3 linked regions of the Schizosaccharomyces pombe genome follow. The gene in region 1 interacts genetically with each later gene. Each region holds a gene or a part of one and is shown in the gene's direction. Other genes may lie near its edges. The genes, in order: qcr8, rec7 and ynd1.

Region 1 (3,475 bases):
ATCATAAATATTTGCGTCCCAAACATGTTAGAGATCCAGAAATTTTGGAGATGTGTCGCGCTGATTATATGTACTTAGGTTATGTTTACTTTTTAAATAAGTTGAAGCCTTCTGTTTCACTACGTTTCCATTCTCCAATGATTGACGATATTTCTGCCGTAAAGACTTGGTCTAAAGTCAACGAAGGCATGATAAAAATGTATAGAGCAGAAGTTTTGGGTAAACTTCCTATAATGCAGCACTATCTTTTTGGCCATTTAATCCCAGCTTCACCTGGGATGTCTCCTGCTCCCCAAGACGGTGATGATTCTGAGGTGACACATGTTCATTCTCATTATGCTGACTGTTGTGGCATCAAGATACCAAGTGCGATCTCTGCTGCCAAAAATAATGGAAGTAGGATTCCGTTTGATTAAAAATTCTCGAGGGAAAAAAGGCGTTTTTAACGAATCTTCACGAATTTATGCGATACCCATATTTGTCTGTTTACTTTAAAAGTAATATCTAAAGTCAATAAAATTACCAACAGTACAGCATATTTGTTTATTTCATTATGCTAAAAAAACTCTACATAAACAATCAACCCTAATTTTAGCAGCATTAATATAGCCATTTCATCAGCACAAAACCCAAAATAATTGTCGTTTTAAAAATAAGGTGACAAATCATAATTTTGAGTTCTGAAATAAAAAAATTTGGAAATATTTATTTTCGTTAAGAACCCAAATTTGTCAAAATCATAATGCGTGGAAAAGTACAACTTTTATATAACATCTCTTTAATTTTAAAGGGATAATAAGATAAAGCTGATATGTTTAGGGGAGCTCGAATAAACCTTATGAATTTGCTGCTAGAAGCAGATACATGGAATGAATTAAGGATTTACATTAAGAAGCAACCCAGAACCACTGGAACTTTGGGCATTAGAACCAGCTCCAAAGGGAAGATAAGTGACCTGTGCACCTTTATTAGCAAGTGCAGTAGCCACCTCTTTACTTGTCTCGAGACGACGAATTTGGATTAAAGCGCCACCGGCTTTATCAAGTGCTTTGGAAACAATATCAGCCGCTTCTGCTTCACCCTCAGCGCGAATAACATTAGCTTGTCGCTCTTGTTCGGATTGTTCTACTAAAAATCTAGCACGCTCGGCTTCTTGTTGAGCAATTTGTTTTCTCTCTACGGCTTTCGTAAATTCTTTTCCAAAAGTCATATGAGTAATGGATACATCTTCCAACCGAATTCCAAATTCGGTAGCTCGTTGAACTAGTTCTTGGCGAATTTTGGCAGAAACTACTTCTCTTTGAGTAATGAGCTCTGCTGCATCAAACTGAGCAACTACGGATTTTAAAATTTCGTTTCCAATAGAAGGTAAGACACGCTCATCATAATCTAAGCCTAAATTTTGGTAAATTTGAGGAAGCATTCCAACTTCGGGACGGTGTAATACACGCAATGTTAAAGAAACCATCTGTAAATCTTTACTACCCGTAGTAGTTGCGATATTTCGTGGACGTGTGCGTACATCATAAACAATTGCCTTTTGTAACCATGGAATCAAAAAGTGTGTGCCCTCCTGAACAACCTGTTTCTGCACACCCGACAGACGGTCAAACAAAACTGCTCTTTTTCCCCCCGGTACATCGTAAATCGAAGATTGTAATAGAGTAAATCCAATACCTATTGGTATTGCATAACGTGCAACTCTCTCCAGTACTACAGCCATCTCTTTAATAGTACGTTGAGCGCTGGACTAAAAGACCAAACTGAAAGGGAAGTCCGTTTGAGCAAGACTAAGTATGACTTAACTGCAACCTCTAGGAAAATCTATATTCATGATTAATAAATACATGATCTTATTATTTAGAATTTTAATAGTAAAACTAAATAAAAATCTTGAATAAAAAACCAAGAATTTGTAAACGTCTGAATTATTATTGGTCTAGCAGACCCGCACACTTACCCTTAACAAACATCTGACTTTGTAACGGCAATCATCAATATATTATTGTTTTAACAAAATGGGTGGTGCTGCTGGAGGAAAAACTTATTTGTAAGTGCAACTTAAAGCAGTTTCTGTTTATAATGGGTTATATGACTTTTCTTTGACGCTTATAGCGTGAGACGGTGGACACAATTGGTGTTTATTTCGTAAAGCCATTTTCGTCAGCGAAGTTATATACATTCAAATAGCTGCTGAGAATATCATTGAACGTTTTTATTTATACTAACACATGAATAGAGGATGGTGGGGCCATCTGTAAGTGCTATAACAATTTGATACATTTTTACTTACTTTAATAAGAGGTGGACCTAAACAAAAAGGAATCATAACATATTCCCTTTCCCCATTTCAACAGAGACCAATGGCCGGCTTCTTCAAAACTTCTACGCAAAATATGTTTCGTCGCGTCATGACTGAAGGTCTATACGTAGCAATTCCGTTTGGAATAGCTTACTATATTTACTGTTGGGGGAAGGAGCGTAATGAATTCCTCAATTCCAAACATGGAAGACACGTAAGTTAATGACTGAAGAATCGATAAGCAGCTATGGTTTGCAGCATTTTTCTATACTTCTAAATTGTGTCAATAATTGTCATTTTACTAATATGTGGTTTAGTTGGTGGAGGAATAATGATGAGAATGAAGTATTCATTTTGGTAGAAGGATTTACAAAATTCTTCCCTACCCTTTCCTTATTGGGTTTACAATTACTATCTCTCTCCTCTCATTATGCTTAGTATCAGAAATCTATATATCCAACAAAATTACTTTGTGATATGATCTATCTCTTGAATTTGAAAACATTATTACTCTTAGTTTTGACTTTCATTTGATTTTGTCTTATAAAAGACAAGTTGTAATGCTGAAACAGCGTCTTCTTCGCTATCGTGTGTAGAAGTTTGTATTGTTGTTCCCAGATATTTTTTAGTCAAATATTTTAAGGAATATCTAAACGGCGGGCCTCTGGCATGCGTAAATAGAAGAGCAGTATCTATGACACGTTTGTGAATAAGCCTCATCGCATTCAAATCGTTTTCTAAACCATGTCCTATTAAAATTGTATTTTTATTCATGCCAAGTTCCTTTATTTTAATATACATTTGATCCATGGTAATTCCTGATTCTAATTCTTTGGCATCATGTATCCCGCTAAATCGAGTATTGAGACTCAAAATTTTGCCTTTAGGCTTTATAAACACATCCATAATAATGCTTTCCTTTGCTACCACCGTCAAACGAGCCAATTCCATCCCGTTCGTAGTGTAGCATAGTTCACAATCTAACGCGCAATGACTTAATTGCTTGCTATTTGTACTGTCTGGTAAGTAGGAAAATGGATGAACGCTAGCAAGATACGGAAGATGTCGGTATTTGAACACATGGTTGTCTTCTATAATACAACCAGACGAATCGCCCTCTTTTACACCACAGCAAGTGTATGTACGAATCTTCTCCCCCCCTTGCTTTTCACG
Region 2 (3,758 bases), on another chromosome or scaffold:
CAGATTATTGGGCGACCTTTTGAAAGTGAGGGTCTTTAGATGTTACAGCTGCAGTAGCTTCAATTACCTTTTCAAAAATACCTTTGTAGGCGGCTATAACACCGTTATTGTTCTTAAGAGTTCTTCCTACACCAAAGTCCAAAGGTTTGCCAAACATATCAGAAACAACACCACCAGCCTCTTCAACAAGAAGAGAACCACCAGCATGATCCCAAATTTTTTCTTCAAATGTCATTTTGGTTGGTAAACGAAGGTAGATGTCACCATCACCACGAGCAAGACTAGCGTATTTGGCTTGAGAATCCATCTTGGTAGGTCCACGAGTAATCCCTAAGTACTTTGCAATTTCTTCTTGAGTTCCTTGCATTGAATGACCAGCCTCTACTCCTTCGCAAAATTTTGAATCCTTGGTGTTTTGAACATCTTGCATGTGCACTTGAACTGGTTCTAATTTTTCGTTATGGAGAGAATACTGGAAGCAACCATGGTTACGAACAGCGGACATTATGATACCTTTGGGACTTGTCTCGGGCTGATTAAAGTCATATGGAAGATTAGGGCATCCAATGGCACTTACCACAGGTTTTCCATTCTCAATCAAAGCTAAACAAATAGCATACTGGGCACCACGTAGAAATCCTTTAGTTCCATCAATGGGATCCAAAGTCCACATACGACCATTGCGACCACCGTGATATGATCCTTGGTCAATAATGCTCATCATTTCTTCAGCTGACTTGATTTGACCAAGCTCTTTGTATTCAGTAGCATGTTGGATAGTTTCTTGAACTAATTCCCAAACACGAGAGCAGGTTTGGGTGTTTTCTCTCAAAAAGTCGGAATCCTCTTCGCCAACAATTGGATCATTGGGAAATGCATCTTTTAACATAGAGATTACGATAGCTTGAGCACCAAAATCGCCAATAGTCACAGGTGATTTATCATCTTTAGTAAGTGCCCCAGCAGCACTCTTCTCCTTGATAAGTTGATTAAACACTTTTTCGGTCAAATAGCTAGCTCTGCGCACAGCAGCAATAGCTAATTGTTTTTCGGCATCAAAGCTCATGGTAAATAATTTTCTAATGTTATTTATTAATGGAGGTATGATTTTAGCACCAAATTTCCTGTTAACACGGAGTTTGGAAATTTTTGTAAACCTGGGCAGTGGAAGTGCGAAGAATATGAAATCAGCATATACGGTGTTTAATTGACGTTTCCACATTTAACCAAAAATATTGTTCAAATAGAAGAAAGAACTAAAAAATTGTTATGAAACGAGAAAGAGTTTCATTTTTTCTGACTAAAAGACCTTTTTTTTTTGTAAAATCGCAGGTTATGCTAACTTTTATTAAACAATAATGATTATGTAGTTTCTATTGTGAAAAGAGCATGTTAATATTTTAAAACAGGTTTCTCCATGTCCACATTTTAGGTTTTCATTAATTATACAAACGACACTACTAAAGTCTGGGTATTGGCAAAGCAGTTCGCCAACCCTTCCAACCTATGGAGAAAGGATGAAATATAATATTAAGGAAAAAAAATATCATTCTGATGGAAAAAACGCATAATTTAAAAGCAGTGCAAGTCCGTATCTTGCGTTTCCCTTTAACAGGCAAATATGCCTAAAATTTTTATATAAGTGTAGATACCAAGGATGAAATGAAGGCATAAAAATATTTTAAAGGGATTGATTAGTAAAAGAAGAAACTGCTCATAAAATTTCCTTTCTCTCAAAATACTGTTGTTTGAAGAGACTTGAGAAATTAATGAACAATCAGATATTCCTCAATACAGATTGAAGAAATAGTTTCCTTATGGCAAATTACAATCATATGTAATATATTGTGATAACAAGACTTACATTCCATAAAGTCTAGTCGTTTTCAGGTCAACTCATAAATGTAAACAAAAGTAATACACCGTGACGGAACGTACTGCGTTATCAGATAAATGAGGTTCAGTCTAACGCGTCTTCTCATATTCAAACATAAACAAACATGAACATTTTCCCAATTGTTAAGTACTCTGTAGCTGAGGATTCGTATACTACAGATTCCTCCCATATCAACTGGTCACATTATTCAGATGGAGGTTTTACACTCTCATTAACGTCTGGATTGCTTCAAATTCGTCAACACGAAGAATTAATTGTACGCGACATGAAACCATATTGCTAGAAAAATTCAATATTTTTAACAAACAAACAGCAAAGTATAAACTTGTTAGATCTCTGGCACCAATTGATACCGGGAACGAAGGAAAAATGTCTAACTCTGCTTTCACGCGCTCCGTGTATGAATATTCGTGCTTTCACTAATAATGTAAGTAAAACAAAAGCAGATTTATTCAAAATCACATTGAGGCCTCTTTTTTTAAAAAAAAAAATGGAGTGTTGATGAAGCGTATTTTGTTGTTAATAAATTTAGGTGATGAAAAGATTTCAAGTGAAATTCCCATCTGACGTGCATTATATGAAAGCCAAAGTTGAATTTGAGAAGCTAGGCCTGGTGTTCAAAGATGCAAAGTCTTCCTCTGAGAAGAAGCAATTCAATAACTCCCAAAGTCAATCTAATAACTCACAGGAACTTTCGTTGATGAACAATGCATATAACAAGTCATCGGCGCAACAGCCAAATCTTTTATTACAACCGAGTTATATCCCCATGACCCAAACAGCAACAACTGCTGTGAACAATAGCACAAACTATGTCAATCCAGCACCACTGCAGCATGTCATGCCAAATGCTGAAATCTTCTCCAATACACCACCGCTTAAGCGATTCCGCGGGGATGCGGGCATGACCCAAATGCCCCTTCGAAGTGATACATCAATTGAAAGTATTACTGCGTCACAACAACCCACTTGGGATGAAAACGTGGTGATAACTTCATCACCTTTTAATCCCAATCGTAATGCCTACTCTTACGGTGCAAACTCACAATACCCCATTATTGCTGCTACGCCGCTGAACTCTCAGACACAGGCTTCGTGGGTTGCTCAACCGGAGAACCAAGCATACGCAAATTTGATTCCATCACCCCCAACGACTTCACAAATCCTACCAACAGAACTTACTGAAGAGGAAAAGCAATTACGCTCCAAGGTATTATTCTATCTAAAACAAGACAGCTTCATCCAATTATGTCAAAGTTTGGAACGGGTATGGAACAAGATGTAGGAAGACAGACCAATTCAACTTAATCCCAAATTTAAAAAAGTAGTAAAAATGGAACGAAATCAGGATCGGAATGGTTATTTCGACAAAATTGATGTGTGACCACAATTTGGCAACCAAATGAGAAACTTCATTAAGTTCACATTCTTCGAGTACCGTGATAAAACATTTGTTGCAAATTTTGACATTATTTAACGAAAAGTTGGTCGAGATCTCAACTGCATATGATCGTTGCTGAGGATTAGCAAACAGAAACCGCCAACACAACAATGTTGAAATAAATTTCTCTACTTGTTGCATGACTCTTTTCCCTTAGGCTTGTCCATGCAGAGCATTAAAATCAAATTGAGAAGATCCCGTTCCGATCCTTGGGGTGTAAGCCTCCACCACGACACATAATCGGTATCAAAAGACAACTCTGAAAACTTTTTGATGGGGGAATTGCCGCAAGTACAGCATGAATACTAGTGTTAATAATGGGTCAGGTTACAACGGTTAAAATTGAGTTGGTGGTTGGTTTTGATAATTGACTTAACAATCCACGAGAGGAGTTCATGACATTAAGTACGAAAATGGTCA
Region 3 (3,758 bases), on another chromosome or scaffold:
ATTGACTGTACGACGTAACATTTTCTATGTTATTTTGTAGTATTACAATATTATTTTTGTTTCAATGCGCCCACTAGTGAAATTTTATTATTAGTTCAACAAAATTTATCTAAAAGGTATTTTTATTGAATGATTAACTTTAGTCAACAATTTTTTATTTTCTCAATCGCAACGCTGAATTTCTTTGTTTTCTGACTGATGATGCTTAAATGTGTGCTGCAAATTTGCGTCGCGTTAACCTTTCCATCCAATTTGCTATTCCACGTACACCAATCGAAATAAGTATTGATGTCGTTCAAAAGGAAAGCAGCACCTCAAATAGCACCAACAAACTTGCCGACAGGCGTTAGACTATCTTCAAAGGATGCTAGATGGATTACAAGCTCTGGGAGTTCTTCTTTTGACTACTATTTGTCTGGCGGCATTCCAATGAAAAGTTTGCTGGTTATAGAGGAAGATTCGATGGATTATGCTTCTGTGCTACTTAAATTTTTTGCAGCGGAAGGCCTTAAACAGGACCATGTTATTTGGCTTGGTCCATCTATTGGAGAGATGTGGTTTCGTCAACTTCCAGGCGACAGCGACCGGCCTAATAAAAACGAAAATTCAGCTGGAGAGGATAATCATTCTTCTCCTCCCTCTAAAAATCCCCAGCAAGAAAGAATGAAAATTGCCTGGAGGTATGAACAAGTCTCCAAAACCAAGGCACCGACCCTTGATATGATTCCTCCTGGCTATACTCACTCCTTTGATTTGTCAAAGAATTTGATAGTGAAAAGCGATATGAAATACGCTGTTTCTCCATTCCCTTTGGAAACAGGGTCTAATCCTTACGCCCCTGTCATTGAAAGTCTAACGAGATTCTTATCTACTCTGACTCCAGGTACGGTATGCAGGTTAGTTCTTCCATCCATTTTGTCCCCAGCCTTCTATTCTATCCGTGCTACTCATCCGCAGCATTTCATAAGATTTATTCACACACTTTCATCGCTCATCAAATGCACTACTTCGGTGCACTTGATATGTATGTGTTCAGTTCCTTCTACTTTGTTTTCAAGAGATTGCGAGCAAATTTTTTGGCTAGAAAACCTTGCATCCGCCGTATTCTCTTTGCATCCTTTCCCGGTCAAAGAAACTGTTAACGGTTTAGTTACACAACCATTAGGACTTTTCCGTATCCATAAGCTTCCCTTAGCACTTCCATTTACCAATCATGCAAACTCTAATGAAGCTGGAGACCTCTCATTTACTGTATCGAAAAGAAGATTTACCATTGAACCATGGGTCCTTCCTCCACTGGATGATGAGCAAAAGGATACGAAGATTTCAAACACGAATCCTCAAAAACAGCCTGTTAAATCTTTGGATTTTTAGACAATTAAAAAACCTCTAAGTTTCTGAGTATTGAATTGGATTAAAATTCTACTCGTTTTCGTGTTATGTGATATGGTTATGGTTTGTAAATGGATTTTATAATTTTTTTTGGATGCATTGCATTTGTGTTATTTATTGTTCATACGAGTTTAAATATTTTTCATTTCTCCCGTCTAGATAACTGATCAATTATCTAAATGTTCGTCAAATGGGATAAACGTTCTCTCAATCAAAACTTTAAAACACAAGTTAATATAGAATGCGAACTGAAAGCCGTCAAATATCTCTACGAAGAACCGTTACTGTGATCTTAAAGCAAAGTGCATGAAATACTTGTAAGTAAATGACATTTTAAATCTTAAACAGTGTTAAACCGTTGAAATTTGAAGGATACAATTATTTTCTCTATTAAAACAGTTCTGAAGTAAATTGTTGATGATTGTTATCAAAACATTGTCAATCTGTTGGTACTAACAGTATTTGACATCTAAGCAAATTAAAGAGACAAATCAAAAAGTTTTCGCGTATTCGATTTTTCTCTTTAATTCTAGTCGCATTATCTTTTAAGTCAAGTGACCAAAATTAATGTGATTATTCCAATAGTCCGTATGAATGGGTCCTTAAATTCGTCTCAATTTACTTTTTTTGCATTTTGACAGAGTTCACTATATAGTGATTTACCACCTAAAAATGTGCTACCTATACATTCGCTAGTTGTTAAACATTGAGTTGAATGTTCATAATCCACTACAAACGTTCATTCAATGTTTCAATTAAGTTAAATAGAGGTTCATTGATAAGACAGATACATATATTTAACTGAATTTTATTGATGTATATCTTGGGAACATATGCCATATTGAAATTGTTCACATCGCCATAGTGCGCTTTCAACCATCAACAAACAAAAGGCAAATTGGGCTGGTTTGATGAAAATATCCATCTTCAGAGTCGAAGTTATTTAATATCCAGTCTTATAGACAAAGAGACATTTTGTTAAGAAAAATAAGTGCAGGTGGCTAAAAATGGTTCGAAAGTATGGAATTTTCATCGACGCTGGATCTAGTGGTTCAAGACTTCTAATTTATTCTTGGGACTATGATACCGATTCCTCTTTAAGTGATAAAGTAAAAAAATTACCATTAATCGAGACAGGGATTGGGGATGGTGGTAAATGGTCTTTAAAGGTTCAACCTGGAATTTCTTCCTTTGCCAATAACCCTAAGCATGTAGGGAAGAAGCATTTGAAAGAACTCCTGGATTTTGCTGCTCATGCTATTCCCAAAGATGTACATAAAGAAACTCCGGTTTTCCTAAGTGCTACAGCTGGTATGCGTTTACTGGGCGTTGATGCCCAAAACAAAATACTTTCGCATGCTTGTAGATATATTAAAAAGAATTACGATTTCGACATACCTAATTGCTCAAATTCAATCCGTGTAATTGATGGCAAAGCTGAAGGTATGTATGGTTGGCTAGCTACGAACTATCTCCTTAAGACACTTGAAGAAAAAGATACGTCAACGGTTGGTTTTTTAGATATGGGCGGTGCGAGTGTGCAAATTGCTTTTGAACTTCCCCCATCTCAGCTCAAAAATTACAAGGATAGTATTTCGACCGTTCACATAGGACTACAAAATGGTCAGCAATTGGAATATCCTTTGTTTGTTACTACCTGGCTCGGTTTTGGCGCTAATGAAGCTTACCGCAGGTATTTGGGACTGTTAATAGAAAGCGAAAACGGAAAAGTTGGCAACACTTTAAGCGATCCGTGTTCCTTGCGTGGACGAACTTATGATATCGATGGGATCGAATTTGCCGGTACTGGAGATTTGAAACAATGCTTGAAACTGACTTACAATCTATTAAATAAAGACAAGCCATGCTCCATGGACCCTTGTAACTTTGATGGAATATCTATTCCTCCTGTTGATTTTGCAAATACTGAATTTGTTGGGGTCTCGGAATTTTGGTATACGACTAATGATGTGTTTGATATGGGCGGTAGCTATCATTTCCCTAATTTTTACAAAAAAGTTGACGAGTATTGTGGTACAGAGTGGGAAACCATGCTTTCCCGTCTTTATAATAAAGAGCTGACTCCAAGTACTGATGAAAACAAGCTTGAAAAGCTTTGTTTTAAAGCATCATGGGCGTTGAATGTCCTTCATGAAGGATTCGACGTTCCCAAGTCAAATACAAGTAGTAATGATGCAAAGGATGGGCTCTCGGTAATTCCTGCGTACCATTCTCCATTCACGAGTTTAGAAAAAATAGAACGCACCGAAGTGAGCTGGACCTTAGGCCAAGTATTGCTTTATGCATCAAATCAGCAACTTCTAGCAAAACCGGAATATGCTAATTATTATATGGACCCATACGGA

What was found.
Region 2: mutations in qcr8 (region 1) and rec7 together harm fitness less than expected from each alone (positive genetic interaction), as found in Schizosaccharomyces pombe (one large-scale study listed by BioGRID).
Region 3: mutations in qcr8 (region 1) and ynd1 together harm fitness less than expected from each alone (positive genetic interaction), as found in Schizosaccharomyces pombe (one large-scale study listed by BioGRID).

Annotation. Positions count from the first base shown.
Region 1 is NC_003424.3:4,765,092-4,768,566, forward strand, and holds qcr8 (ubiquinol-cytochrome-c reductase complex subunit 7), read left to right. Parts: upstream 1-1,964; 5' UTR 1,965-2,018; coding exon 2,019-2,050; intron 2,051-2,239; coding exon 2,240-2,257; intron 2,258-2,302; coding exon 2,303-2,516; intron 2,517-2,619; coding exon 2,620-2,634; 3' UTR 2,635-2,815; downstream 2,816-3,475. Other genes in the region: ypa2 (serine/threonine-protein phosphatase 2A activator 2), read left to right, coding at 1-416; prohibitin Phb1, read right to left, coding at 875-1,723; exonuclease Rex3, read right to left, coding at 2,816-3,475.
Region 2 is NC_003421.2:1,547,312-1,551,069, reverse strand, and holds the start of rec7 (meiotic recombination protein Rec7), read left to right. Parts: upstream 1-2,000; coding exon 2,001-2,153; exon of another isoform or gene 2,154-2,210; coding exon 2,211-2,324; exon of another isoform or gene 2,325-2,429; coding exon 2,430-3,182; 3' UTR 3,183-3,758. Other genes in the region: tol1 (3'(2'),5'-bisphosphate nucleotidase/inositol-1,4-bisphosphate 1-phosphatase), read right to left, coding at 5-1,066. UniProt on the Schizosaccharomyces pombe protein: May be involved primarily in the early steps of meiotic recombination.
Region 3 is NC_003421.2:1,460,869-1,464,626, reverse strand, and holds the start of ynd1 (nucleoside diphosphatase Ynd1), read left to right. Parts: upstream 1-2,120; 5' UTR 2,121-2,399; coding exon 2,400-3,758. Other genes in the region: elongator complex subunit Elp4, read left to right, coding at 289-1,374. UniProt on the Schizosaccharomyces pombe protein: Catalyzes the hydrolysis of phosphoanhydride bonds of nucleoside tri- and di-phosphates. Required for Golgi glycosylation and cell wall integrity. Involved in N-mannosylation of proteins in Golgi.